Xenopus tropicalis: one gene and its partners. The protein of the gene in region 2 interacts with the protein of the main gene of each other region in a pairwise test. Links are inferred from orthologs where the notes say so. Each region holds a gene or a part of one and is shown on either strand. Other genes may lie near its edges.

The links.
Region 1: the proteins of ehhadh (region 2) and mid1 interact in binary tests that used the Homo sapiens proteins (3 or more experiments, as listed by UniProt). The two-hybrid records come from large-scale screens. The link is inferred for Xenopus tropicalis from reciprocal best matches to the Homo sapiens genes EHHADH and MID1.
Region 3: the proteins of ehhadh (region 2) and kctd6 interact in binary tests that used the Homo sapiens proteins (3 or more experiments, as listed by UniProt). The two-hybrid records come from large-scale screens. The link is inferred for Xenopus tropicalis from reciprocal best matches to the Homo sapiens genes EHHADH and KCTD6.
Region 4: the proteins of ehhadh (region 2) and tpp2 interact in binary tests that used the Homo sapiens proteins (3 or more experiments, as listed by UniProt). The two-hybrid records come from large-scale screens. The link is inferred for Xenopus tropicalis from reciprocal best matches to the Homo sapiens genes EHHADH and TPP2.
Region 5: the proteins of ehhadh (region 2) and actg1 interact in binary tests that used the Homo sapiens proteins (3 or more experiments, as listed by UniProt). The two-hybrid records come from large-scale screens. The link is inferred for Xenopus tropicalis from reciprocal best matches to the Homo sapiens genes EHHADH and ACTG1.
Region 6: the proteins of ehhadh (region 2) and zbtb9 interact in binary tests that used the Homo sapiens proteins (3 or more experiments, as listed by UniProt). The two-hybrid records come from large-scale screens. The link is inferred for Xenopus tropicalis from reciprocal best matches to the Homo sapiens genes EHHADH and ZBTB9.

The regions. Positions count from the first base shown.
Region 1 is NC_030678.2:58,457,351-58,462,281, reverse strand, and holds the start of mid1 (E3 ubiquitin-protein ligase Midline-1), read right to left. Parts: upstream 3,366-4,931; 5' UTR 3,276-3,365; intron 1-3,275. UniProt on the Homo sapiens protein: Has E3 ubiquitin ligase activity towards IGBP1, promoting its monoubiquitination, which results in deprotection of the catalytic subunit of protein phosphatase PP2A, and its subsequent degradation by polyubiquitination.
Region 2 is NC_030685.2:54,570,316-54,575,262, reverse strand, and holds the start of ehhadh (peroxisomal bifunctional enzyme), read right to left. Parts: upstream 3,526-4,947; 5' UTR 3,465-3,525; coding exon 3,391-3,464; intron 1,763-3,390; coding exon 1,659-1,762; intron 1,558-1,658; coding exon 1,385-1,557; intron 582-1,384; coding exon 470-581; intron 1-469. UniProt on the Homo sapiens protein: Peroxisomal trifunctional enzyme possessing 2-enoyl-CoA hydratase, 3-hydroxyacyl-CoA dehydrogenase, and delta 3, delta 2-enoyl-CoA isomerase activities. Catalyzes two of the four reactions of the long chain fatty acids peroxisomal beta-oxidation pathway.
Region 3 is NC_030680.2:148,539,956-148,544,994, forward strand, and holds kctd6 (BTB/POZ domain-containing protein KCTD6), read left to right. Parts: upstream 1-1,627; coding exon 1,628-1,654; intron 1,655-1,746; coding exon 1,747-2,433; 3' UTR 2,434-4,356; downstream 4,357-5,039. UniProt on the Homo sapiens protein: Probable substrate-specific adapter of a BCR (BTB-CUL3-RBX1) E3 ubiquitin-protein ligase complex mediating the ubiquitination and subsequent proteasomal degradation of target proteins.
Region 4 is NC_030678.2:119,711,928-119,717,211, forward strand, and holds the start of tpp2 (tripeptidyl-peptidase 2), read right to left. Parts: upstream 3,408-5,284; 5' UTR 3,354-3,407; coding exon 3,183-3,353; intron 1-3,182. UniProt on the Homo sapiens protein: Cytosolic tripeptidyl-peptidase that releases N-terminal tripeptides from polypeptides and is a component of the proteolytic cascade acting downstream of the 26S proteasome in the ubiquitin-proteasome pathway.
Region 5 is NC_030686.2:28,628,026-28,633,030, forward strand, and holds the start of actg1 (actin, cytoplasmic 2), read right to left. Parts: upstream 3,168-5,005; 5' UTR 3,083-3,167; intron 1,709-3,082; 5' UTR 1,702-1,708; coding exon 1,579-1,701; intron 1,490-1,578; coding exon 1,250-1,489; intron 965-1,249; coding exon 526-964; intron 339-525; coding exon 157-338; intron 69-156; coding exon 1-68. UniProt on the Homo sapiens protein: Actins are highly conserved proteins that are involved in various types of cell motility and are ubiquitously expressed in all eukaryotic cells.
Region 6 is NC_030684.2:71,795,245-71,800,443, forward strand, and holds the start of zbtb9 (zinc finger and BTB domain-containing protein 9), read right to left. Parts: upstream 3,196-5,199; 5' UTR 3,136-3,195; intron 3,113-3,135; exon of another isoform or gene 3,016-3,112; intron 3,010-3,015; exon of another isoform or gene 2,840-3,009; intron 1-2,839. UniProt on the Homo sapiens protein: May be involved in transcriptional regulation.

The DNA of each region.
Region 1 (4,931 bases), on a different chromosome or scaffold from region 2:
TTCAGGAATGTGCAAATTTCATCTTATATTTAAAACACAAATTTTATAAAAATAAATATAATATTTCCGTTTCTGATACTCAAGGGGTGTTCATTTGTGTTTTAGAATGCATTTATAGGGTTCTGTAAAAGACAGTCCTAAAGCACTAGGAATATTTCGAAATAAGGAGACTCCTTGTCTATTTATTTATGGTTCTTACTATTTAGTAAAAAAATTCCCTGCAGTGGAATGCCTTTCTTTAATCCTAATGATTCCCATGGTTAGACGTATGCACAGAAATGGCCCTAATCTGACCCTTGTTAGTTTATGCAAACTGACAACTTTGCCTGAGAACCATTAGATAAAACAGAATGAAATAGAACTAGTGACGTTTCCATTAAGTTTGCCTTCAGAAAGCTAAAAAAGTAAACATATTCCTCTAAATCTAGCGTAGCCTGCCATTCCTGCTTGCTATATTCCAGATGTATATATAAAATGAACTCATCTACATACAAGCAATTAGGTAGATACAAGATCAAAGAGAACTAAAAGGAAAGTGCGCCTGTTTATTTATACTAAGCACATCCATCTCTTTATAACGGGATTTACATACAAGTGTAGTATGCAAATATCTGACACAAATCACCATCTTTTTTAACCATAAGGGCTCTGGCACATGGAGAGATTAGTCGCCCGTGACAAATCTCCCTGTTCGCGGGCGACTAATCTCCCCGAGTTGCCATCACCTGCCATGCCACCGGCGAAGTCACCGGTGGGATGGCACACGCGGCAGCGAGATTTCGGCAAATCGCCGAAAAAGCCTCTCGAGGCAACTTGGGCGATTTGCCAAAATCGCCTGCGCAGCATGTGCCATCCCACCGGCGACATTGTCGCCGGTGGGATGGCAATCCGGGGAGATTAGTTGCCCGCGAACAGGGAGATTTGTCGCAGGCGACTAATCTCCCCATGTGCCAGAGCCCTAATGAGGCATTTCCCACAGAATTCAAGCATCAAAACGCGTTCATTTGTGTTTTCACAAATTTAGTGTAAGGTTTGGCTAACAGTTGGCTAATTACATGATTTCTAGGGGTGCTGCATTAAATCACCATTACTATGTAATTATTTTGGTGCAAGTCTGGTTGGGTTCTATTGATGCTCTTCACTTCAAAACCCTAGGAGCTACCACTATATTCAATGTGGTAGTAGCTTCCCGATTCCCCAGCACAATAGCTGTACTTGCACATGATTCTTTAGACCAGATTGAACATATGCAAGGTATGTTTAGACACCAGTACCTTTAAAGGAAAAGTAACACTAAAAATTTTCAAGTTAAAAATCTATTCTACCCTGCCCCAATTATTGCCCTATTCTGCAAACCATTTATTAATTTGAATGGTTTATTAGAAAATACAAGGTGATACAGTGATGCAGGGGAAGCATCCACTATGCGGCAATCGATTGATTGGGCCTAGCCTTCCTTCTGTATAGGAAAGAGTCAGGCTAGGATCGATCAATCGATTGCCACATAGTGGATGCTTCCCCTGCATCGCCATATTGCCTTTTTTCAAATGACCGTAAGTCAAGTTTAAACAGGTATTTTTTAATAAAGAATTCAAATTAATCAATGGTTTGCAGAATAGGGCAATTATTGGGGCAGGGTAGAATAGATTTTTTACTTAAAAATGTTAGTGTTACTTTTCCTTTAATGGTTAAAGTCAATACATTCAACATTTGCATCCATTTTAGCAAAGCCACACATGCAGTCATACATCCCCTTTATATCTTCTAACCCCTCTTAGCACTGGAAGGAAAAGATATTGCTTGCAGTCTGACAAGACTTTTTTCAATTCCAGTGAGCCCAAACATCTCAAAAAGCCAACATTAAGGCAGACTGATTCTCTGATGGAAAAACATGTCTGAAACTACCCATCCGCCTCCTCTAAACCTGTCGCTGCTTTTGCAGCCAGTGTTTGGTTCCAAAATGCTTTTGTGATTTTCTGGACTAAAATTTCCTGCAGTAACAAGTGGTTTCCATAAGGGTCAAGAAACATGGAGCCACTAGTAGCAGCTACTCATCATGGGTACAAAAATAGACAATGCAGATCATTTACTGATAATTGTCTCTATGTATGTTTTAGCAGAGGCAATTCGAAGTATTGTCTATGGCAGGGGATTTTCTGGTGTTTAATAGCTGTAAAAAAGTAGCTGCTACTAAGTACCTTAGTACCTGTGTGTCTTCACCCTAAAAGTTCATGGACGGCAATACAGGTGGTTACTGTTTGCCAGGTGTATGCCTTGTATCAGTGGCTAGATCCTCAAACTGAGGGAAATATACTATATTTATTGCATTCTGTAGCTAAAGAGACTGCCATGTTGCTAGCCACAAATTTAACTTTTTTTGTTTGCTGCAATAATAATCAGCATCTGTAAGCGGTTCCTTTGTTATGGTTGTTATTTGGAATCATCAGAGCAAGCCAAGATAGTTCCTATTCATACAAATCAAAATAGGTATTCACTTGCTTTATGTGATACTCATAGCACTGGCTTTAACCCTTTAACCAAAAATAAAAGGTTTTAACTATGCACCCAGAACCATGGATACAGACCCACTGAAAGAGAATTTAATTTGGTAACTACATAAAACTGCAAACATATACAGAATGCCACATGTAGAAAGTTTAAGGACATGGGCAATTTCATCTGCACCTAGAGGGAAATGCCTAGAACTGTGTCCAGTTAATAAGGACACAAGAAGGTGTATTTTTATTAAAAGTTTTAAGAGGACAATCCCTCTGATGTGCCATAATTGCAAGCAAGTAAGAATATATAGAAGGCTTAAGCATACTCAGACAAACAGCCCATGCTCCATTTTTATAAACACTGATACTTTCCATATTTAGATTTCCTAGAAGTTTCTGCAAGCAAACAGCTGCTTATCCAGACAGCATACTTTATAATAGAAAAGAGGCATGCAGCATTAGTTTAAAGGTAACCATTCTTGTACAATCAGCTACTACAGGGATAGAAATCCATTGGCAAACATGTCTAAATGTGATGTGTCTATGACATCTGGTACCAGCAGGCTGGCACTTCAGAAGTTAGATGCTTACAGGATTCTATGCAGAGCTATGGCTTAGTGCTGTTTTTAAATAAATCATACTCATATAACAATCTGTTCTTAAAGAGAATACCTAGGACCCTATCAGCCACAACCACTAATTATTTTTTTCCTCCCACATATAATGCATTTCTATAAAATAAGCTCATGCAAACAACAGCAACAATGAAAATCTTACCAGTTTTCTTTAGGATTATTATTAGCTGGTATATGCTTCTTGGAATGGAAGGGCAGAACAAAACTAGCAGGTCTCTGGCTTTCTTTCTTTAGCTCATCCTCTGTAGCTCCTCTCACAGATATCAACAAAGACTGTCCCTAATCCCTTCCTAGGAAACCGGAGTACACACTGGCTCACCAAATGTCTTCAGCTTACAAACAAGCCTCTTGGGCTCTTCTCCAGTGTCTCAATAAATTCAAGCCTTCGAAGACATGCAAATCTTTAAAAAGGTGCACAGATACACAGCACAACCCCTGCCCATTCAAATGATAATAATAATATAAACAGAGTTGTTATAATGAGTTCTTATATGCATATACTGCCAACTGCAAAATAAAAATAATGTAGGCATCTTTGTGTATGTATATTTATACAGTGCTACTTTTATATATTTAGCTCTGTACATTTCAAACAATACATTAATAGAGGAGACAGGGAATAATATAATACACATTACATAAATACAACATAATATATACATTTAAGCTCAAATTCAATTTTTACATCAAAACCAAATGTATATCTATAGAATTATATTTGTCTTAATTTATATTTAAATGTTGCTTCAGCTCTGTGAGCTAACAGAATACAGAGAGCTTTTTTTTAATATAATCATCAATTGCTTGCTTAATTTACTGTCTATCTGACCATCTATCTATGTATATACATATGTTGATGTGTATCTATATTATAATATTTACATTTCAAGAACAGTTTTCTTCAGTTTCCCTATTACCATTTCACATAATGCTCCCATGACCTATTACTTGAATCAGAAATAGAGTAGGGCTTGGCTGAGAGGACACAGGAAACCTTAAACCCCACTTTCTTCTGACAAAGGAGTGTCATGTTCCAATATTCTCTCTTGTCCCTCAACCAGCAAACATGTAACTGAGAGCAAGGTCAAGTTTCACTATTTATTTGTTTGTAACCTTTGCTGACGGCTTCCTATTAACAATGAACTAGATTTTTCCAAAGCAGAGATCTTTTAAACTTGCAAAGCATGAAACTGTAGATGAATGTTAAAAAACAGCAAAGAAAACAAAAGGAGAGAGGGGACCACAGTGGGTCCTTGAATTGTTTTTTGCATATGGGCAGTTCTTTCCGATTCTCGCTATACAGAGGTTATCAGTGAGCCTAGACACATATACATATTAATCAAAGTAATCATTGCTATAACTGATATTGAACCAGAATCTCTGGGGTGCATTGACCAAAGCATTTCTACATTGTACAGGTTTGGGACCTGTTATCCAGAATGCTTGGGACCTGGGGGTCTCAATGTACAGTAGGTGCACATCTAATGTAGCTAATCACAATCCTTTTTTGCTATCCCTAAAAAACTTTTTTTCACACTTTTGTAGTGGCCTCACGAGTAAAAAAAAGGTTGGGTATCCCTGCTCTAAGGTTTTCATTTTCAGGCTGAAATATGCTCTGTACATGCTGGTCCTGTACCTGTCAATGCACACACATTCAGGTAGTGGAAGGCAGCGGACAGGGCTGGAACTAGGGGTAGGCAGAAGAGGCACCTGCCTAGGGCACAACAGTGAAAGGGCACTAGGCAAGTACCTCTGTTGCCTACTTCTAGTCCGGGATCTCTAACCCCCACCGCTGATT
Region 2 (4,947 bases):
TCTTAGATGACATGGTACCAACAATTTCAAGTCAAGTAGGTTTTATTGTAATTTTAACCCTCCTCTGCTTTTTAACCCTCCTCTGCTGGTAGCTGGAGCTACCTGCTGTTTGAAGTGTGCAAGATATCACTGGGATGTGGGTAGAGTACCACACATTCCTGTATATGGAGGTAAATGGACGTGAGCAGAGGGAATTGGGAGGTAGGTAGGACAATGTACCGTATATGGTTCAGCAACTCTCAGCATAATAAAATAATGCAGGTTTGGAGGAAGAAATTTTAGTAATGATATGAAATAGCTAAAGATCTATAAGCACAATGAAGTTACAATGGTAATCTTGACTGGTGACATCTCAATGGCATTACTGAAACAGGACTGATATTTTAGAAGCAGAACACCAGATGGGTCTTTGGACTTTATATGGTGACAACAACTATTCTGTGTGTAAAGGGAGAAAGAAAGTGCGTACCACGGACAATAATATCCAGAGCAGCAGGAATGCCTATTAAGCGAGGCAGGCGTTGGGTTCCTCCAGCTGCTGGGAGAATTCCAATTAATACCTCCGGGAGACCCATAACAGTCTGTAAAGAGAGATCAAGATGTATTTTAACTATATATGAAGATGTTAACACTCATATACCTTCCATTTCTGATATATATTACATAACACTTCTGCTGCTGCCTCAAATCCATCTAGACCAGGAAAAAGCCACATCCAAGAGGGTTGTGGTTTGCTACTTTCACCTTTTACAGTGAAAGCCTACGGCCTAAAAATGTTTGTTTCACCTGCCCTCTGGGACTGCATTATTTGAAGAGACAAACTTTATGGTTTCCTCCCCAAGGCATAGCACTTGTAAGCCAACAAGAGAAAATTATCTGTAATTCTGTTATGAACTTTGTGCAATTAAACTTTATTTTTAAAGCAGCAGCATACAACCAGGGGTTTCTATTGGAACAGTTTGGCACAGTGCTGAGTAGCCGCATGTAGGAGCAAAATTATCAAATAGTTTGCCCATTACTATTCAGTTATTCATAATCCTTGTACATATCAGATACCAAAAGGCCACTTTAAGGGGAAATTCACACAGATGAGGACCTAATATTATTTCCAGTGTTCTTATGACAGGGAAAGTGCCAGGTATCACTTCCAAACAACAACTCCACCAAAACTAATACTGGAGCTCATTACCACAGTTTGACTATTGCTGTTATATGCTTTTATTCACTGTTGTTTGTAACCTGCCACAGCTTAGTGGCAGAGCAGGTAAACTGAAATGGTAAGAACCAGACAAAGCCAAATAGTTTTGTTGCTATGCTGACTGCGCCCAGATGGACGCCTGTCCCGCTGATCTTAACATCTTAGTAGATGCTAAAGTGACTGCACCTTTATATGTGCCACACGATAGTGGCACGATAATGCTAATTCCAGACCTCCTCCGAGAGCCACTCCTTCAATGGCAGCCACCACAGGCTTCGTGGTGCTTTCTATTTCAGCATTTATATCTTCTAAAGATACGGTTCTCCGAGCTGCAGAACTAAACTCACGGATGTCTGCTCCTGGGGCAGTAAAGAGTGTATTAGAATATGGAATCACCTATTTTAAAAAGAAAATGATAGCACAGATCCATCCAGTGACAGAAAAATAAACACAACCATACCTGCACTGAATTTTCCATTTGCTCCACACAGGACAATGGCCTCTACCGATGGGTCCTTTTTGACCTCTGCCAATTCCTTGATAAGTGCCTGACAGACAGGAGTGCTATGGCAGACAAATAAGCACAATATATGGTAGCAAATAAAAGCAAATGGTCCCTCTTTTGTTGATTTATTAGCCCAAACATATTCTCAAGGAAACACACAAATTGTACAAAAACCAACGCACCTTTAGCTAGCAGACTTCAGTTCTTTTGTGTGTTGTGTGATAGAGCCACCATATTAAAAAGAATTATTTATCAGTGAACCAGTTCACCCAGTAGCCATATTTTAATGAAATGGCAATATTTAGTCCAGCTTTACAAAAGGATATTATTGAGCCCTAGCATCTCTCAAGATTATGACTACAATATTACAGATGGAGCAGGCATTTCTTATAAGTTACTACTGAACACAGTGCATCTTTAAAACCAGCTTCATCTATACATTGCCTCTTTACAGGGAAATACACATTAAAGGTGGCCATACACGTTAAGATCCGCTCGCTTGGCGAAGTCACCAAGCAAGCGGATCTTCTCTGATATCCCCACCTATACTGGGTGAATTTAGGCTAATTCGGTCGTTTGGCCCTGGGCATAAGAACGATGGTAATGGGCGCAGTTGGTTTGGGGACCACATCAACTAGCCGATGCGGTCCCTGATCAGACTAAATTTTTTAACCTGCCCGATCGATATCTGACCGATTTCAGGCCAGATGTCGGTCGGGCAGGCCCGTCGTTGGTGCCCCTACATGGGCTGATAAGCTGCCGAATCGGTCTAAGGGACCGATATTGGCAGCTAGAATCGGCCCGTGCATGGCCACCTTAAGCCTAGATTTCACCATTTCATATTTCTTGTTCATTTCCTGCCAAAGAGATATTTACTGCAAGTTACCTTAGAGCATATTCAGGTAAAGTTGCCACTTTGTCTATTAATATATATTGCCCAGTTTATATGCTGATAAATAATTCAGCTACCAGCAATTTCTAAATTACTCTATATTTCTCAGAACTGCACTTTCTTTACCATGCACATCCCAGAAAAATACTGTCCATGAAAATGGACAGCCAAATGCTGGTAATGCAGTGCAAGCAGTGGAGGGCTGCAGTATGGAGATACCGGTCACCTTATAGAATTACTCTTCTAGAGCACTGGAAGGTACTGGGGAAACAGAGGGAGGGATGCAAAATAGGAGCCAATTATAAGGCTATTAGAAGCTTTCAGAAGGGCGCAAGCATAAAGCGCTGTGCAAAGTGCCATTTTCAGATGCAAATCACAATGTTTTTTATCCAGATTAAGAGTGTAATTGCAGGCACTCTCCAAGTGGCATATACAATCCCTTGTGCAGAATGCACCCATACACATGCAAAGTGGTGTCTATTTTGGTTAGTTTCATCATAAATTCTGAGTTATCTAAGCATGCTCAATTTTGCATTCCAAACCAGAGCATTGCACTTGCCTTAAACTTGCAAATTAGGATTTTGAGTGTTTAATCTGTATTCATAGCTACTGTGGGACTACAACTCCCAGAATTCTACAATGATCAGTGGCATTTAAGGTGTTACAGTTCAGCTACACTTAGATACAAAGGTCGAGAAAAGGCTGGTTTGTACTTCATGGTGTATTGATTCCAGTCCACCACAAACACCTATAGCTGAGGTCCCTTCCCACAACGAATCCAGCTCAACGTCTTACCTCAGCGCATTAACAGGAGGATTGTTGATTTTGATGACAGCCACTGTATGTGACAGAGTCCGTGTGGCAGCCATCGCCGCTGCTGTATAAGTACAAAGTTCAAGTGCACCTACACTTTGAAACAAGAGCCGAGAAGCCCCGCCCCTTCCCTTGATATGTAACGAGTGTTTGTTCCGACACTTGACCAATCAGTAGCTCAGTGGGTGTATCACAAATTGTGTTTGGGTAGAGAGGGAAAGCCATAGCTATGCAGTATAGCAAGAGTAGCATGCTAGTCACTAAAAGCTGCTGATGCATATTTGTGTTTGTTTTTTTCTCTTCTGTAAGGTTTAATATGAACTGCTTCAAGATTATACTAGCATGTATAAACATACTTTGGTGTGGCATATTTGCATGGCCTTGTAATGTTTAAACCCAAGTTAATGAATGGGAAAAGCTAGATTTTAGAAAATTCATTCTTGGGAGAGAAGTATACATCTGTATAGCCGATTTAACCCACTCCCACATTTAAAGAATGATCTGTACTCCACCTTCCTACCAATGCTACTATCTAAAAGATTTTTAGATAAAATTCCCAATATACTCAGATCCTATACCCTAACCTCCTAATTCCTACAACAGTTAGTATGGTACTCCTTTTCTTATCCCTGCCCAACTACAAATTGTATTCCACTTCCCCAACTTGTTTTCTTCATGTGTTAGGCCCTGATACTCTCTTTGTATATCCTTGCCCAAAAGCTTTTTATTTCCCCACTTTATTTTTCAATTTCCTGCCTCTGTGGTTCATTTATTTTTTTCTAGTCCCACTCCAGAGGAGTGGAAAGTTAAAAGGCAAGCAGAAGGCAGCACCTGTGGTTCGCCATCTTGAAATTATAATTATTCGTTCATCAGTATTGCTGCATGGAAGTGACATCACGCACCGGTGCTCACTTGCAGACGTGACGTCACATGCATGCAAAAATGCCCGAATGAAGCCGAAAAATTGCTACCTGCACAGATTTCAATATGAACTTCGGAGGGTTTCAAAAAATTCGTGAGAATGCTATTGGATAACGGAAGACAGGGAGAGAGAAGCACCACGTTCTTATGATCCCTCTGGGCTTGCATGTAAGGCGGAAATTAAAGGACATGTAAACTCCACACACAAAAATGTAATCAGTGAACAGCCTCTTTGAAATCTCTCAATACCTGCCACACTGGTTGTCCAGAGGTTAATACCGGTAGTAAGGCTGCAACATCTCCTTAATCACTTAGATTTGCATCTCCTCCTGTAACCCACTCGGCCCCCTCCCTCAGGAATTTGCTTTGGCTGTTGGCTTGTGGGCATGCTCAGTTGTTGTAAGATCAGATTACTAAACATGCCCCCTAATCTAGCAGCCAGTGAAGAGATGGCATTGCTGGTTCCCATAGAAACTCAGCTCTAGCTGTCTGCTTCAGTTTTTTTCTCCCAACCTTCTCTCCTGAGCTCAGTTCAAACACATCAGAACTTTATCAGAGATAGTTCTGCCTGTGTGCTGCTATTCGCTTTAGGAACATGTGATGGTGCTGGCAAACGGA
Region 3 (5,039 bases), on a different chromosome or scaffold from region 2:
CCTACTGGTATTCCCGTCTCTGTGGCCCCCCCCCCCCCACTGGTATTCCCTGTCTCTGTGCCCCCCCACTGGTATTCCCTGTCTCTGTGCCCCCCCACTGGTGGTCCCTCTCTCTGGGGCCCCCGCACTGGTGTTCCCTCTCTCTGGGCCCCCCTACTGGTTTGGAACATTTTAATGGGCTGAGAAGTGAGGCTTTAGATTATGGCCAGTATATAGATTGGCGTATCAGATAAACCCCAAAACAAAGGTGGCACAACTGCCAGCTCTCGTAATCACTGTGCTCCTGCCAGATGGGAATGTTTAGAAATGACAAAGTGACAGGAGGGATGTGAGGAGCCTGTATGTACATAGCTGTGTAGATTGTAGTTGCCCTTAGCAGCTAGTGACAGATAAGTTTTATGCCAGTCTATAAGGCTGGGACCTAAATAGCAGTAAATCAGTTTTTATTTCAAAGTTAAACCCTTATATAATATCTTCCTTATCTGTAAACCAGAGATTGAAGGCGGGGGTAGCAATGGGTTGTTCATACAGCCTTATTTATATAAACTTTGGGGTCTGTGGAACAAAACTGGCTTGATAGAAGTTTAGTTAAGCGATTGCAGTCACTGGGGGGTGTCTAACATTCAGCCCCAGTGATTTAGCTCCTTTAATGAGCATTTGGAAAGATCCCGCAGGGTGAGCTGCTGAAAATAGAATCTATCAATATTGGAAATAGACTGAGGCAGCGATTGTATCAGCGTAGTGCGCTTTGTGCATAAGTCGCAAAACTAGAGGGTCAGGCTTGCTGTCTTGGGGTGTATAGGGTTCAGTATATCAGGGGACCCCTAATTCTAAAGGTGGCCATACACGGGCCGATTGTAGCTGCCGATATCGATCCCTTAGACCAATTTGGCAGCTTATCGGCCCGTGTATGGGCAGCAACGACTGGCCTGTCCAACCGACGTCTGGCCTGATATCGGCCAGATATCGATCGGGCAGGTTAAAAAATTCAGTAGGCTTGGGGACTGTTGATGCAACTCCATTGAACCAACTGCGTCGGTTACCATCCTTATAATTCGATCATTTGGCCCCCCGATATGGCCCACCTGTGACGTGTATGGCCACCATAAGAGCTAGGCTGATCTGATAGGGAACTGAAGCCTTTCTTCAGTTGTGTAAATGCAGGGCTGTGATTGGCTATCCCTCACCTGCTGTGCTTTTGGCAGAGACTGTTAGAACACGCCCACCCCTCACTCCAATAAAGGAGCTATTTATAAAGATAATGTGTACCTAATGGTACGTACGGATATTAAAGCCGAGTTAGAGAGTAATAGGGATGAGCAGTTTAGGCTCCGGCCGCTGTGTCTCAGGAGCACAATCATTTATAATGATTTGGGGGGGAAAAGCCCGGTGTGACTTGCACTTCTCTATATATAGAAAGGATGGATATAGCAACGTGCAGAATAACATTAGCACCTCTCTGTTCCTTTGTCACCATCCCCGCTCCCAATATAGGGACTTTGTGCCGTCATTCCCATCTAATAAGCAGCGTCTGCACATCTGTCTTACAGAAGCCGGCCGGAGAGAGAAGTGTATGCGTCCCTCGGCAGTGAAGCATTTGCTTACGGCAGGTCAATCCTTTGAACAGATGGATAATGGAGACTGGGGGTACATGGTACGTGCTGCATTGGTTGGAGTAGGGGCCCCCTTGGTTTGGCTTTTTCCTGCTGCGGGTGCTGTGAGTAACGTTCTTTCCTTACATTCCAGATGACTGATCCGGTCACACTTAACGTAGGCGGCCATGTCTACACTACCTCGCTCTCCACCCTGACACGTTATCCAGACTCCATGCTGGGGGCCATGTTCCGGGGGGATTTCCCCACAGCTCGGGACTCCCAGGGGAACTACTTCATTGACCGAGACGGAGCCCTTTTCCGGTACATCCTAAACTTCTTACGGACATCGGAACTGACTTTGCCGGTCGACTTTAAAGAGTTCGATTTGCTTCGCAAAGAAGCCGATTTTTACCAGATTGAGCCTTTGATACAATGTCTCAACGACCCCAAACCCTTGTACCCCACGGACACCTTTGAGGAAGTAGTGGAACTGTCCAGCACCAGGAAGCTCTCCAAGTATTCCAACCCGGTGGCGGTCATCATAACGCAGCTCACCATCACCACCAAGGTGCACGCCCTGCTGGAAGGAATCGCCAACCATTTCACCAAGTGGAACAAACACATGATGGACACGCGGGACTGCCAGGTCTCCTTCACGTTCGGACCGTGCGATTACCACCAGGAGGTTGCCCTCCGCGTGCATCTCATGGAATACATCACCAAGCAAGGCTTCACCATCCGGAATACCCGGGTGCACCACATGAGCGAGCGCGCCAACGAAAACACCGTCGAGCACAACTGGACTTTCTGCCGACTGGCTCGTAAGACGGACGACTGATGCCTGTGGCGCCGTGGCCAACCTGGACGAGGGAACGCAGGAGATGCAGTGTTACCTTGTGACTTTGTGCGCTGTTTTTTGTTTTATTTTCTATTTGTACGACTATTTATTAACAGCCAATCTGATTGAATCGTTCGCAGTGTGATGTAACCCGACATTCCCGGCTTATCCACGGTGTATGCATGTACCTGTATGGAGGAGACTTGTTGTTCTAATAATGCTTTAATGTTAAATATACAACCCTGCTAGTGGGCCCATTGTGCTCAGTACAGTGGTGACAGAACTCTACGCATGGCTGCGCAGCACTGGAGAGATTCACAAATCCAGCGTTATGAGCTTGGCCTTTTGTGTTATTCTCTATGGGGCTGTTCTATTGCTTGCTGTGTGCAGCATTGTGAGCCATTGTGCTATAATGTAACCTTTGGGTAACACTACAGTCAGGCTATGTGTCCAATACTAATAACAGCTCCTAATTCCGAGGTGTACTGCAGGCTGCACTGATTTCTGTACAGCCACACATATGCACCTAAATAACCTAGTATCTAGCTGTGCAGAATTTGGATTTTATTCATGTACAATTATTATTATGGATTTGAATCAAAATGGAACCCAATAACTAATAGTCGAATTTTAGTTTGAGTATAACTGAGAATACAGTATTAACTCATGCTGTAAAGGCGCATTGCAAAGGGGTTTGGATTCAGGCTTGGGATTCAGAATAGGCCTCCAGTACACAGAGGCCCAAACAGCCCCAATAAATAGTGACTGTCTATGGCACCTTACAGCAACCCCTCTGGCATTTGCCAGAACCCACAGATTGCCATTCCGGGCTGGGTAGATCAGCTGATAACCAGAACCAAATCCCTTAATTTAATAATGATAGAGAAGCACCATGCATTTTTAAAAAGTGCTGTAGTTTATATGGTAACCTTTTTTAATTATGACTGAGCTGCCCTCTCCCTCAGTTCTATATAACTAAACTCCTTTTTAGTATGGGAGGGTGCTGTACAGGGTCCAGTAGGGCCCACATTTACAGAGCACACCAGATAAGCTATTTAGGGTACCATAGTTTTAGTAGTCAAGTGGTGATATACAATAGTCCGCGCATTTATGGCTCCCCACGCACCCACAGGATGGAAACATCCAAAAACTGGACTTTTGCTACCAAATAATTTTTTATTTTCAGAACCGACAGGTCAGATATATTGTATAAACGTATATCCACCTCAGGAGCCTATATTGCAATATTATTGTAGAAAAAAAAAATTAAGGTTTTAATGATAGAAGACACCTGTAATCATGGGAAAAATAGTGAATGGGATCCAGAAGGCATTTTCACTATATTTCTTTATTATATATCCATATAAATATGGATATTTCCAGTTACTGTACTTTGGAATACACCTCAGACCCAGCTCTTATGGAGTTTTTAAGGGGAACATGACCTTAAAATTAGGGATAACTGACAGTAGTGCAGTTGGTCTTTGTGTGCAGCTCTTTCATGTATGGCAGTTAAGATGTTACTTGGTTTCTAAGGTCACACACCCTGGCAACAAACGTAGGAGAGGTCCTGAAAAAAAGATTCTAGTCATACATTTATTGGGACATTTTAGGCCACTTCCTGACTACCCCAGTCAAATGCAGTTCTGCCCATATTCCCTCCCTCCCCCACTTCACTGTAGGCCCCAAAGGACGGTAATTACTTTGTGAATTAAGCATTTGCCAATGTATAGCTTGTTATCCCACACACTTTGCTTTGGGAATGGAGATCAGTATTACAGAGAAGCAAAGTCATTTGTACAAACTGTTTGTTTCTATGCAGACAAGGAATTCTGACCAAATATACGTTTAGTGTCACCATAGAGCTGTGTGCTGCTTGTCTATCATTTTGTCGTTGGATCATTATTATACTGCATTTTGGAACATTTTTTGTCCGTGTCTCCTTGTTATGCCCAGTTATGCCCCCAGTTTTTTGTTTTTTTTTTAACTTCAGGCGTTTATTGAATTCACAATATCAATATGTACAGTACTTGAATAACAGTATTGCAATAATAGTTACACATTAGTAGTATCATAGGCATTTATTACATGACATAGCATAGCACATTCTATTATGGTTTAACTCATTTGAGTCAGGACTGACTCGGCCCAAACATATGTGTGATATATTTACTGTCGGTCTGGCCCTGGGATAACAGGACTCTTGGCAGGTATGTAATTACATTCGCAACCCCATAATAATAGGGTAAATAGTTATTTTCTAACCTTTATATGTAGGGTCTGGTTGAGTTACAACTTGTTATTGATGTCATGTTTACAGAGCTTTTCCCCTCTTAACAAAATGTGGGATCTGCCTTTTTGTGCAGTGATTAAAGGAGAAGTAAAGCCTAACTAAAGAAGTAGGCTAGAAATGTTATACATTATGTTTGAGCTTTTGTACCAGCCCAAGGCAACCTCAGCCCTTTAGCAGATCTGTGCCAACAAAGATGCCCCCAGTAGCCCCCCCCATCTTCTTTTGTACTGATTACTTTGTGCAGTTACTGAGCTTAGGGACCGATGTACAATATACTGTATATAGAATATAAATATCACATTAGTAAATCATA
Region 4 (5,284 bases), on a different chromosome or scaffold from region 2:
TTTTGTAAGACTTTACAAAAGGTGAACATCCCCTAAACAATGTCAACAACTGATTTTATAAGAATCAAGAGAGTCAATCACCAGGCAAAAGTAAATATGATAGGTAGGAAATAATAAACACATTTGTTTTTAAACTTATGGTAAAAATAAAAAGCAGCTGAAAAAAGTCTTTATTTGTGGTGTATTATTTAAAAACAATAAGATGTGTGAAGGTGGGCCACCCCTTTAAGCTAATTTCACATACATTAACCAGGCCCCCTAATGAAATATTTAGGATGATCAAAGCTAATAAAATGGAATCATGGTGATATGTTAAAGATATTGGGCCAAATTACAGAATCTATAAAAATGACCCATGGGTATAAATGCTTACTTGTGTAAATAAGCTTTAATCTCAATATTATGTGGTAATCAACAGATGGGAATTAAAGAGCAGAGATGCAGGCATTCTCGCTTGATTTAATACCAGTCTATTTGGCTGCACTATTGCCTCACTCTTAAATTACATATACATGAAAAGCTTTGTGCCAGACAAGCAGGGCCTAAAAGGACTGGGGCCCACCAGCATTTCTTCTGGTGTTCCAGTGGGCCAGTCCGACCATGGACCCAAGTATGTGTCAGGCCAACTTGCACCAAAATACAGCTAAATGTGGGCTGTGTTTTAAAAAACAAATAAATCACACAATTAAACCTAGTAAAAACTCTCACTTTAGAACCAATCTCTTTTACTTCTGATTCCTATAAGTGTAAACTATTGTCAACAATGCACTGGGAAGTCTTTACTTAAAGAAGGGCAGGAGTTGCAGTCATAAATATGGATTATTTCACACTAATGTTTTCTAGGCTGACAAATGTATATGCTGCCGCGTGTGTGCGGGTGTGTAGTAACAGGCATGAATGTTTTTTGTGGTCCCACAAATATATAATGCATAATGCTTTTCCATGATTTGAAATTTTCCTGGATTTTAAATCAATTTTTTCTCGTCCCCTGAAAACATAAAATGGGGGTTCTACTGTATATATCTGACTGAAGATCAGTCACTTCGCTACTGAGATCAGACTCCAAGAATCAATAATGTTTTAATCTGCTTTATGATTCTTAGTAAAACAGTACTGCAAAAATGAAACTCCAAGAATCACCGTGAAAACTGTTTTTAAACTGATACAAGCCAGGTCGTATTACAGCAGCAAGGAAAGCAAAGCTGCCTACAACACATATCTATTTCCATTCACGCCTTGTCATTTATGCAGTGTTTATTTTAGTGAATACGCTCATTTACAGGCATAGGAAAGATTCTATAAAAAGCTCAGGCTACCCTATTAAAAAAAACAAAAAACACAGGATAAAACAAAGAATTGGACACAGAAGTAATATTATTAGTACTCCTAAAAGAATATACTGAATAGCATTCATACTTGCCCCAACAGTGCTTTACATGTACAGAAGTAAAGCAACAATAGAGTAATTGTAAATGTATTCTTTTCTACCACACTACAATCAACACAAATAATACGTGGGTGTTCTGAAAAAGCCAGACTGTTCAGTCTGAGCAAAACACTATATCAACAGTTATTGCTGTTGATGATTTTCACACCCAGAATCTTCTTCTCCTTACAAACAGATTAGTACAACTATGTCCTTATTATAAAATATGGCATCCCTCAGGCCAACATGGCATGACACTGCTGACAGACACAAACCGCCAATAATCAGGTTGGCAGGAGTTGTGCTCTCTATTATCCTCCTTTATTTATATATTTCACGATATTTTACACCAGTCAAAGACATTCACTTACAGTGGTCAATTTTGTTAGGAACCAATTTACCTTCCTTTCTGTACTTTTTGAAATGTGGGAGGAATCTAGAATATTAGAGCAAACCACACCACCAATACCTGTGTAGCAATCATGGTATGGCTAAGGGACTCAAGCCAAGAAGTACGAATTAAAGAAACAGATTTTACACAGGTGATGGATATCTGATTTATGAACTTCTTTTTACACACTTTAGACCTACGAGCTCAGCTGCAGCTGTATTAAAAGGGTCGTTCACCTTAGAATTAACTTTTAGTATGCATGTATGTGGTTTATCAGTTTTTTTAGCTTTTTTTGTTCAGCAGTGCTTCCATTTGGAATATTAGTAACTGGTTGCTAGGTTCTTGCTTACCTAAGCAACCAGGCAGTGGTTTGAATGCGTGACTGGACTATGAATAGGAGAGGGACTGAAAAGAAAGATAATAAAATTGTAAGCTCACAAAGCAATAGTTTTTTTGACTACTGGGGTCAGTGACCCCATTCAAAAGCTGGAAAAATGTAGAAGAGGAAAGCATATATTTAATTAACATATAATTAAACCGTAAAAATAAAATAAAATTGAAGGACGATTGCTATGTTGCTATGAATAGGCCATTCTGTAACATACTAAAAGTTAACATAAAGGTGAACCACCCCTTTAATATTTTTTTTTTTTTGCAACTATCTTGCTGTGAGTCGCTGACAGATCTCATCTGTTCTGATTGGCTGATATCAGTGACTATGCTGTTTGTCAGCACTGCACTACTGACAAAAAGCATAGGCAAAATGCATGCAAATGTTAGGTTGAGAAATTACAATAATAAAGCCATTACATCTCAAAAACTAATACACAAAAAAAAAGATCTGTGTGTAAAAACAAAAAAAAAAGAACATTTAAGCATCAACTACAGTTAGTTTAGTGGACTGGGTGCCCTCCAATCTCTGTACTCCTCCTGCCAAGGAAACGAAAGTAAAAAAGCAACCAATGCCAGGAAGTCCTGACAGTGCTAAGTCATCCTTGGTGGCAGCTAATACAGGGCACAGATTAAAAACCTGATCTGTCTGACTTTGGGATGGATACTTTCCCTTTAGCACACCTCAGAAGCATAGATCATTCCTATCAATGATAACCCAGAGGGTACAAAACATGCAGCGGATTTGTGTATTTCAATTCTGCTACAATAGAGAAAGCCTAATACGTGACGGACACAAATAGGCCAGTACTGATGAGTTAGTCAGACAGTCCTTCCTGCAAGTCTCCCGTTACTCTACAGTCCCTATCCTTGCGCTATAGGTCGGTATTTCTCCGGCTGGAAGATGGCAGGCTATGTATCTCACACAATAACAATGTACCCAGTGTATGAATACACTTTCATTTTTGTGTATACCTGCATGCCTGGAGCCCCGGGGTCCACCCCAGTGTCTAATATCGCTATCAGGACTCCGCGGCCGTCATACTGCGGGTACCGGGTCAGGAAGCCCGCAGCGCCGGTCTCTTTCTTGGGCAACAACCCATGGTAAGGGAAAGGTTCTTCCGCGCCGGCTGCCATCATGATCATGAAGAGAAGGAGACAGAGGCTGAATCGGAAACAAATCTTTGGCCCGCCCCTCTGCTCGTAGGTCAGCAAATCAGAAAGCCGGATTGTACGGGTTTTGAGTGACGTGTTCCCATTTGCGTTCAGTTCTGCGGATGTTATTGTGTTTGACGGGAAGCCCTTTCATCTCCAAAGAGCGTGAAACATTGTATGTAAAGAAATATTGCCTGAAAAATAGAAAAAAAAGTTCTTATGTTAATAACAATGGAGAGCTCTTTTTCATTATTGGCCCAAGTTATTATCTACCAACCTCAGCCACCTAGTCTTAGACATGAAAAACTGGCCCACATAAGTATCTGAGCACATTTAGGCTGGCATACAAAACTGTTTGGGGTGCTATAAGCAGCACCCTTAGTAGGTAAAAAACAAACAAACAGTTCTCAGCTTTGAATGGGAATTACTTGTCAGATGTCAGTAATTTGGTAACACATGGCAACTTGATATATACATTACCCTTTGAAAACAAGATGCATGATATCTAATGGAATATAAATATTGCCATGAAGGCAACTAGAGAAAAAGTCTACTGCACCAAAATACCATGCCCATTTTACAAAAACACACCGTATTCCCCTGGTTGCAATATCAGTGTCAGACACACAAAGAGCAACAGCACTTATTTAAGCAGGATAAACCCTGCTGATTTTTAATAGTAGCAAACCATATAATGTTTCGGGGACACAAAGGGGCTTGTCAGATTTTATGGCAGTGTGGTGCAGTTTAAGGCTCTGATCGCAACTAATTTCATTGGGGCCTTGTAGCAGGCACTAGCCCTCAGCAGTTATAAACCCCAAAACTATTATAGCCCTTACACCCATTACAATACTGCCAACTAACTGTAAAGCAGACCGGCAAGTTGTGAGATGTCTGCTCCTGGACTGTTAGAGAGACCTTAGTCCAAATATTTACTTGTCCATTATGTTAAGAGTTTTGTGTGCTTTAGGTGTAATTCCATTTGAGCCTGGTAATGCCCTTAGTCTTCTCCTCTATCCTCCCATAGCCCTTCTCAAGCTTCATCCTTCTAGAGCCCTCATTGATCTGCCCTCAGCCCTCCATCATCCACCTCTGCTCTCTCCTACATCCATGATGTGCCCCATACCCCATTTTCCCTTAACCCAGTAAGATCTGCCCTCAGATCCCTCCTCCCTCAACCCACCACAATCCATTAGTAGCTTCTTCTTTATCCCCCCTCAGTGTGCCTCTTCATGCTCTCTTAGTTCTCTTCTCCATTAGCCATTCAGCCCTCCATGAATCACCACAGCCTCCTCTAGCCTAGCAAGATCTGTCCTCTGCTCCCTCCACCATTAGCCTCCACAATTCACCCTCAGCTTTTCCCATTTCTTCATTTGTATCTTCATTTGCAGAGCACTAGAAAGATCCAAAGTCTTTGGCTTTTTCCAGAATGCTCTCCAAAACATGCACGGAAATGTGGGCTTTTTATCCTCACAGTGCCAGAAAGCGCTTTTTCTGACACATTAAGAAATGGAACATTTAACCTAACATTTGGCACTGTAGGAATAGATAGGAAAAGTCACAGTCCCACACACAGAGGGACAATTAAAAAGTTTGGAATTTGTCTTTTATAATGCTATTAATCTTGTCCAAAGTAAGAGACAAATGATAGCTTCTGTCTTTTGCTTAATCAATCAAGACCACTTTTGGGGAGAAACTTACACTGTATTTGGCAGCCTTTTTCTGAATTCTACTCTAGGCGGTGGGTTTGTTCAAGTTTCTATTTTTGAAGAATGGCTGTAGTGTCTTAGTTGTTTAAATTAGAATGAGCTCTGTAGGTACGACCTACTGAGATCCTGACTCTGGGGCACCAGATGGCATAACAGCAATATGACATGACCAGAAAACATATTTTGCAGGTTTGTTCAATCAATGGGTGTAAA
Region 5 (5,005 bases), on a different chromosome or scaffold from region 2:
GTGGAGAGGGAGGCCAGGATAGAGCCACCAATCCAGACAGAGTATTTGCGTTCAGGTGGGGCAATGATCTGTGGAGAGGAATAAAGTTCAGTACCAGTGCATAAATACTGGAGATTCAGGAGAAGAGAGACAATAGTAACCAGTTTGTTAACTCACCTTAATTTTCATGGTGCTGGGGGCCAAGGCAGTGATTTCCTTCTGCATTCTGTCAGCAATACCAGGATACATTGTGGTACCTCCGGACAGGACAGTGTTGGCATACAGGTCCTTACGGATGTCAACATCACACTTCATGATTGAGTTGAATGTAGTTTCATGGATGCCACATGATTCCATACCTATGTGTAAAAAAAAAAGTTAATTGCTAAAGTTCCATTCTTACTTATACTTGGTTCACTTTAGTCACTTTAGTCACCTTTAGCAACTATACAGTGTACTGTGGAAACAGGACCTACTACCTAGACCAGATGTTCAGGAGGAAGAGTTATTAGTCAGATGAAATGCAACGTCTTAACAGATACCCACCCAGGAAGGAAGGCTGGAAGAGTGCCTCTGGGCATCTAAACCTCTCATTTCCAATTGTAATTACTTGTCCATCAGGCAGTTCGTAGCTCTTTTCCAAGGATGAGGAGGATGCAGCAGTTGCCATCTCTTGTTCAAAGTCAAGAGCAACATAGCAGAGTTTCTCCTTGATGTCACGCACAATTTCTCTCTCAGCTGTGGTGGTGAAGCTGTAGCCTCTTTCGGTCAGGATTTTCATGAGGTAGTCTGTCAGGTCACGACCAGCCAAGTCCAGACGCAGGATAGCATGGGGCAAGGCATAACCTTCATAAATGGGTACTGTGTGGGTGACACCATCTCCAGAGTCCATCACGATACCAGTGGTACGACCAGAGGCATACAGAGACAGCACAGCTTGAATGGCGACATACATAGCTGGGGTGTTGAAAGTCTCAAACATGATCTAAGGGATACATGAGAACAATGTTAATTCTAAAAATCAAGACGAGTTAGAACCCCAAACCATGCCAGCATGCCATCATGCAAAACAAAGAGATAGATGTGTAGAAAAACAGAACAAGCAGAAATAAACCAATGAAACAGAAACCTGAGACTTCAGGAGGGAAATGCCAGGAGAGGTACAGAGCCCTGAAAATATTGAAAGAAAATTGGAGTTTGAGAAATAAGAATGAAGTGTACAAGAACTACCCCAAAATAAGTGTATTTGGGCCTTCCACTGAAAACAAACCTGTGTCATCTTTTCTCTGTTGGCTTTGGGGTTCAGGGGAGCTTCTGTAAGCAGGACTGGGTGCTCTTCAGGGGCTACACGAAGCTCATTGTAGAAGGTGTGATGCCAAATCTTCTCCATATCATCCCAGTTTGTAACAATTCCGTGTTCAATTGGATACTTAAGGGTAAGGATACCCCTCTTGCTTTGGGCTTCATCACCTACATAGCTGTCCTTCTGGCCCATACCAACCATTACACCCTAAAACAAAAAGAACAGTAAGTCAGCCCAAGAAAAAAAATTTAAGCTGCATTTGCTGGATGAAGGATTAAAGCATCACTTATATATACCTGGTGTCTTGGGCGTCCAACAATAGAGGGGAACACAGCACGGGGAGCATCATCTCCAGCAAAGCCGGCTTTGCACATTCCAGAGCCATTGTCAACGACGAGTGCTGCAATTTCCTCATCCATTTTATTTCTGTGTGGTAAACAAACAGATCATCATAAGCAAAATAAGGGACTGGCTATTTATCTCAGTCAGTAGCCACAACCTCACTCCGTACACAGCTAAGCCATTTGTAGGCAAGTGTACCAACAGTAAGGCATAGTAACCGTTTAATCCACTTCAGCCCCACCCTACCATGAGCGACAAGCGTTAAACACTTGTTTCTTAAGTAAAAAGATTAATCATGAATTATGTGGAAAGTTTGTACACTGAAAGCTGTACAAGGTAACAGGGAATATCCCACAGCTGATTAACAGCATTAATAGTAACACAATCAACACTTCTATGATTAGATAATCGTTTAATGAAAGGCTAAGGCAGCCCTTTTCATAGGCTAAAGACTTGAGGCAAGTGGTACAGCCAGTCACGCCCTGTTATTCCCCTCAATAGGGAAAGGGCACACCACAAAAAAAAAAAAAAAAAAAACACAAAAAGGCTACAAGACTTCAGCTGTCAGGCTAACAATACAGTGTAGCTATCCAAGCAATATAGAACATTTACAAAAATGACAGGATGTAAAGCACACAATCACCCAAGTTATTTGTATTTAAGAACAGCTGCCCATACTGCAGAATCTTTAATTTAATATAGTTATAAATAAACATAATAGAATAGATTTCTCTGACTCGCCCTAGTGTTAACCCCCGCCCTTACTTTATACAACGCAGGAGCCGGTACCGGCTAATGAACAGCAGCCCCACCCCTAGAACTGGTGTGATGTTTAAATCTGCCCTGACTGCTCGCTCAGCCAATCACAGAGCTCTTGCCCTAATATGGAAGCAGAATGCAGCAGCCACGCCCTGCCGCTGAAACAAAAAGCTACAAGCTTCAAACTCGTGGGCGTGGCCAACAGAGGTGGGGTGACTCATACAAGTAACTGGGGGGGGGAGGCGAGAAATAGCTTCACCCCTACCCTTTAGAATGGTGCAGCCCGTCATGCTATCGCAGGGAAACCCGCGCAAACTTCTAGCCATAAGGGAGGGAAGCCACCTCCGAACGGCGACTGACACCAGAGCCATATAGTTCTGTACATAGCCATATTAACATCATTCGGCACCCAGGGTAACCAGAAGTATGACAAGGGCCAGATATGTATATAGAATATGCCTATTTTAAAATAGAATATCGCAGGGCATTGTAACACATTAAGATCAACAGCAGCTTTTTAGGAGAACAAGTTAAGCGTGCATTACTGGAGACTTACAAATATCCAAGCCACAGACAATACGGTCATGTAACAATATATAGACAGAACACTACCACACGCTATCCCGGCCAACGGTACCCCATAAGACTTCTTCCGCCCACCACCCACACACAGCCGTAAGACATTGTCTAAGGTCTTACCTTGGTGCTGGAGGTTTCCTTAAGAGGAGAAATGCAAAGCTGGCAAGTTGTTACAAAGAGCGGGAAGTAGCTGTCAAGTCCGCTGCCACCGGCTGAATGAGAACCCAGTAGCGGCCGTTATCTCTATTTAACGTCACAGGCTTCCAGCCCCGCCTGCTGCCGCACAGACAGAAGATCGCCAAATATGGGCATCTTTCAGAAACACGCCTCGCCATTGGTTGCTTGGTTGGGAGAAGAGGCGGGACCGGAGTCCTGGCCCTACGTCCACCCGGAACCCCTGAAGTTACATGCGCTTATGAGCAATAGGGAGGCGTGTAAGGCCTGGCCGTGTTAGAGCAGGAAAGCCGCTACCCTTGCACATATATGTTACTATTACTTGAAACATTTCTCTAAAATGTATTGTAAAATACAGGGAAACATCGTAGTCCGGGGATTTCTAACTCTCAAGTTCTTATGCGGTGGGACAGTGAGATACGGATTACTGGGGTAGCGGAGGTTGCTGGGAAGCGTAGTTAACAATAGCAGGCGAGCGTGGTGCCACTATGGCCAAAGGGAAGGATGGAAATACCTTTTAAGGTCATGTTTTTTTCCTTAGGTGTTTCATTGTCCTTATACAGAGGGTGTGCATTTTCCTACAGTATACCCAATAGGAACACATTACATCCTTGAAACTTTATTTTTATTTCTTTATCTAAAATTAGAGTGGGATCTGGTCGAATTCCAAGCCCAGGGAGTTTTGTAAATAAAGTGCTAAGTGATACATGGGCTAAACCCTATATAGATATAACACAAATGCATGGATTGCCTATAGACAGGATATTAAAGGGCGTGGTTCTACTACATACCCCCTTTAGGTACCTTGCTGGGAAATGCTTTATTTTGTATTCTCTGAAGCCTCAGGTGCTTGAGCATTCTCCCTTTAGGGCTAAGATGGAAGGAATACATTCAGGGTGGGACTGCTGGGAAGTGAGCTCAGTCTTGCATGTCACATTACCTTAAACAGAACTTTCTAAAGAACAATCCCTGAAGGCAAGGGCTGCTTGGTGGGTACATTGCCAGATTATAAAGACAGATTCATTAAAGATGTTCGGAACAAATTGGAATAGACATTACACATATAGAGAGGGAATGGCTTAGGAATTGCAGCAGTTGTTAGAGGGAAGCTTACTTGCAGAATATCCTGTATAGTGACAGTCATGTGTTTGGCTTCATGCAGAAAATGTTGTTATGGTGAAACAAAGTTCATGGTACGTTACTGGGATGGTCTCTGTATAAATCTGTTCAGAAACATAAACTATAAGTGCAGAATGTACACTTACCTATACTGATCTGCCCAATTTGAGCTGATAGTTCTCTTGACTGTCTGCTTCTACTGGGGAAGGGAGTCGATTTTGGGGTTCAGGAGGGGCAACATCACACAGCAGAATGTAAATCCACAACATAACCAGGTGGGCCATACCTAATTGTAAATAGAGGAAAATTATGATAAATTGCAACCACAGAGAACTACTGCTTTCAATGCAAACCCCTTTTCATGCACTTCCTTAATTAGATTTAAGTCACAGAGAAGTTCTGTTATCTATGATGGCAGTCTGCACTGCAATATTAAATCTATGTGGTTTGCCTTACATGCTGTTCAGCTTTTTACATTAATCCCATACTGCATGTTCAAGTGCCTGGTTAGGGTGAAGACACATGGAGCTACTTAGTAGCAGCTACTTGTCACAGCTACAAAATGCCAGAGAATACCCTGCCATAGATAATACTAGAATTGCCTCTGCTAAAACACACTTAGAGCCAATTATTATTAAATAATCAGCATTTTCAGTTTTGTAGCTGTGACAAGTAGCTGCTACTAGTAGTTCCATGTGTCTTCACCCATATAGTGAAATGATGATGGCAATGATGAGAATGGTGCAGCTA
Region 6 (5,199 bases), on a different chromosome or scaffold from region 2:
TTTCAAGTGATATTGTCTAGTTGAAGCCCAAACCGGAAAAGGATGTGACGTATATGCTAAAAGTTAAAAAAGAAAGGAAAAACTGTGGTAGCTGCTTGCTTGGTCCTGCAAACAATTTTGTAATGTCCTATGGACAATCTATGTTGTATTTTTTTCAGTTTTTGATTGTTGCTGTACATTATGTAAAAAAAAGTAAACAATATTTAATTTATATCTGTGAGATTCCTTTCTCTTTTGAGACTCCATAGATATTTACTGCTGTTTGATGACACTTGTCATCATTTTGTGATCTCAACACCGCCCCACACATGCACAGTTTCTAAATTGTTAAGGGATCGAAATCTGTCCATCCCATCAAATTTCACTGTTTAAAGACAAAAATGTATAAACCTGTCCGATCAATTCTCTGACCAATGTCGGAGGAAAGAACAGCAGATGTACGATTGTTGGGTGCACACCACCCATACGATAATTCAATAATTTGTCAGATCATACTGAAATTGTTATGTAAAAAAAGGCTGTATAGTATAAAGGGGTGCACAGTGACAAAATGCATGTACTTGATGAAGAACCAGTGGTGTAACTGTTAGCATTGCTTTCTTGGAGTGCTGGGGTAATAGGTTTGATTCCAGTGAGGGTACTATGAGTTTTAATGCGTTATCAATGATTGTGTTTCCTCCCACACTGAAAAAACATTTATCATAAATGGCTTCTGATCGAAAAATGATCGTGTGTGAATGCTATATGCACCTTAAGTTGTAAGCTCCGCTAGGGCAGGGACAGGTGTGGATAGTTATGGAATATGTTGGCGCTAAATAAAGAATAATTTGATATAATATATTATATATATACATACATGCACTGGGGGGCAGACTTCAAGTGGTAGTTTACCTTCACAAAACTGTGTTTCGTAAAGGTAGCCATACACTGTAAGGTCTGCTTGCTTGTCAATGTCATAAAGCAAGAGGATCTTTTCCCGATATGCCCACTTACTAGGGCCAAACAATCAAATTAAAATGGCAGGCATAGGTGCCACTGGTTCAGGTCAGATGCCGTTTGGGAAGGCCTGTCGATGGTGCCTATACACTGGCAAATAAGCTGCTGAATCGCTCTAAGGGACTGATATGGGCAGCTGAATCTGGCACATGTGGCCATCTTTACGTGTGGCTACCTTATTTTGGAACAGGATGCAAGAATTCCAAAATACAAAAAAATATTTTAAATATTTTAGAAGTAAATTGATACAGTGCAAATGGTTTCATACTGCTCAAGGGCACTACGTCGTAGTGTTCATGAAAGGCATGAAACATGCAGGGCAACTTTTTTATTTATTCATTTTTGGAGTCAATGCACCTATACAATACACTAAAATAACCCTCTGTTTAATACTGCAACTACTGCTTTTTCCCATTAAAAAATGAAACTATACAATTAATGCTACACCAGGGTTTTTTTCTTTTAGAGAATAAGACAATCTACTCAAACCCTGGCTGACAGAAAGACATCTTCCTGTCTGTGTGCACACAAGCATTTTCATGACAAGATCCATCCTGCCAGGCACTGACAGGCATGTAGTACCACACTAGGCTCCTGTCCCCTGGTGTAGATATCACATGGAGTAATATTGGTGTTTATAGTTATACTTTTCAGAATTAATAAACATTTTTGGAGAGCACAAGCCTAGCTAATATTATAATTGTACCTAAGTCTAATATGCAGGGTTGTCAATGATGCAACATCTTTAAACAACCAAGGAGGCTTCACCAGGGATATTTGTGTATATGCTGCAACCCAACAAGCTCTCTTGATAATCAGACTATAAATAAGATTTTTACAAGACACCCAAAAGCCTGGGCCACAACATTAGGGACTGTATACACTTTTACTTCTTTAAATAAATTACCAGTGCAGGGCTGCAAATGTATAACAGTTTTTCTGAGCAAGGTGCAGAGAAATAGTCCCTGCTATGTGCCCACAAGCCGTCTTTACTTTGGCATCACTGCACTTATGTAAAAGCTCAGTATATAGAGTGCTGGGCACCAGGTAGAACAGTGTGACTGTCTGCTGGACAATCCTCAGGCTCTCGTAAGCGCTCACCCTTCAAAAAAGGCATGTTTTCTGCACTTTGATCACCACATATTTTTTATCAGCCGAAGAAACATGTTTAAAATGCCCAAAGTCACTCACATACTAAAATATCTGCCTGAAATCACTGGTTTAAGCACCTGTCATGGCTACATACTGTCTCCCCTGAACACAATATCCCGTGTGAGGCTTTGTTTGGTCACAGCTAATGATGGATTTCATGTATCTGCATCAGAGAAACATTATAACATATAAAGGGCAGCCAATTCCATATCTGTTAGCAGCCATTTACATGGCAGGAGTGATGGTAGGAAAGTGATGCCCAGCACTGCCCCAGTTATCCCTCATTCCTTACTGGGCTATGTGTCCCATTATTATGTGTCCCCCTGCGAGCTTGTACCTTAGTCTCCCCTAGCGATCAGGCAGTGGGACAGGGCTGAGGGAGGACAAGGAGCAATAAGGCCCAAAATACAAGTACATATAACAAAATGCTATCCGATAACCTGTTCCCTTCCCAGCCAGGCCCACACACCCATTACCCAATCAATACAGCCTGTGGCCTTATGGTACATAGTTGCTACTGGTGTCCGTTACTGTAAATAGTGACTCTACCGCTGTAGTTCGGCTGTATGTGAAGGATGCTGGGAACTGTAGTCCCAAACTAGCTAGAAGGCCACAGACTAGACACAGGTTTGTGAGTTCTGATAAGTGCACTGCTCACAAAGGCGCTATAAACCCCACCCCTGAAACATACCGTATTACTTCCCTGCTCCCCTGAAGCTCCCTAAATACAGCAGCCCGTCACTGCACCAGCGGCAGGACAAACATAGCCAGGCCCGTGGAGGCCAGACGCGGGACAAACGTGTGTAACCCTGGGAAACCATCAAATTGGAGCCATGCAAAACGCGGTCAGGGACAAGTATAACCAACCCTGGGACTCCGTAGTCACATCTCTACGAGAGTAAGGAGGAGGGACAAGTAGGCGCTATCCCCGGGAAAACGAGCTAGGAAACATCCGGGCCTGTATCACATGGACGAACATTACCTTACCCCTTGTCTCAGAGCGCCGCTCACACCTGTAGTTACCCCTGGAGACCAGAAGGGGGATATATTGCGCTCTTTCCTTTAGGAACCTACCACAAGCACAAGTAGTATGAATGTGCTGTAATAAACCGTGGCTATGATACAAACTGCTCCATAGAGGGTTATAGCTGTGTGGTGTGCCAAGTGATCTGCCTCTCACAGCACTATGTTACTATTGCCTGCAAAGCTCCAGGCTGAGTAGCCTGCTTTCACATACATTATCCAATACAAATTACTAACCAGGTCAAAGAACTAATAAATGATTCGTTTTAGTGTGATGGACCAAAATAGGGAGCTGGAGCAAATAGAAGAAGTACAGATAAAAAGGAATATTTAAATGTGAAATTATGTGGTGATATGCATTCTCTGGTATATTTTAAGTTTATAACAGGCAGTGTCAGACTGACCCACCAGGATACCAGGGAAACTCCCGGTGGGCCCAGGGGTCAGTAGGCCCTCCTGCTCCAAACCATTTGGCCTGTTTCATGGTCATTCCCTATTTCTGAATGGGAACAAATACAAATAATAGATGGAAAAATAGATGCTAGCATGTAATAGGAGAATAATATTTTGGAGAGTGGGCCCATGTTCTAAGGTTTTCTGGTGGGCCCCTGGTATTCCAGTCCAACACTGATAACAGGTACAAGAGATCATTACACCAAACTGATTTATGCTTCCAAACAGTAGCGGAACTATACCTCCCCAGGCCCAGGTGCAGGGCATGCAGCAGGCCCCCCCTTCCCCCTTCTGGACACATTTTTGAGGCAAAGTTGCACTGGTACAACAATGCAAGCATCCACTGTCCAAAGTTCATATTTAATTATACCTACCAGTCCCAGACTGGCCCACCAGGATACCAGGGAAACTCCCTGTGGGCCCAGGTGTCAGTGGGCCCTCTTGCTTCTAACTATTTAGCCTATTTCTGGATGGGAACATGGAAGCTTGGTAAATGGATGAATAAACGTTAGTATGTAGAGAAAAGAGACTAGGATAATAAAGAGTTTGAAGGAGGAGAGGAGGAATTAAAGTTTTGGCAGTGTGCACCTGGCATCTCATTCTGACACTGATACTTAGCCCCTGCAATTACATATATATGATACTTCTTTGTTAAAAATATTTTTTTATTTACTGACACAACTATATCATATGACACAGTCAAGAAAAATGGTATGTGAGAAGAGACTTTTTTAATTATATACAGACAAATACTGGGAATATGTGACCTGAAAAGGTGGATCTGATCCTAAAGGGGATCTAAAGTCAAAAATAAAATCCCCTTTCAGGCTCCTTACCTCCAGAAACCTACCTCCAATATACTTTCATTACAAAATATCAATTCAGTTCAATTCTCCCTTCTCTTTTATTGTTCTGACAGTTGCGGATACAAATCTCTAGGCAGCATGGACCCGAGAAGAAAGTTACCCAAGACTAGTGCCTAGTGGAGAGATCCCTGCAGGAGTGCAGCTATATAGACAAGGTATAGGAGGCCAAGTGGGGCACTAACATATGAATTTCATTATAGTATTTAGATAGTTTACAGGGACCCTTAAATGATTTTCCTGTGGGGCTCAGTATCTTCCAGCTATGCCAAAGCCTCCCATAAGAGATGTTGTTAATAAAACTAAATCCCTTCCCCTACATAAGGGTATCAATATATCTTACTTTTCTGGGGCTGAGTGCCTTTTGGGGGAAACTAAACACAAAGCTGGCGTATCCCCTTTTTATGGTCCCCACCTATGGCTATTCACCCTGGAACCTTATACCTGAGCACCTGGGATGACTCCTTGCATATAAGGCCTGATCTGAGCTTAATTGCTATTGGTATATCAGTTCTCTTAGGTGGGACTCCTGGTGATTGGGTAAAGTTCTAATATATGACTAAAAACTTCAAAATAAATGGTTTAACCATTTTCTCTCAAGATTTGTTTGACCACAACTAAAAATGAATAGAAAAATCTACATAAATACAAGTAAGGAAACTGAACATAGAATGAACATGCTCATTAAAATTTCTTAGACCTTCTGCCACAC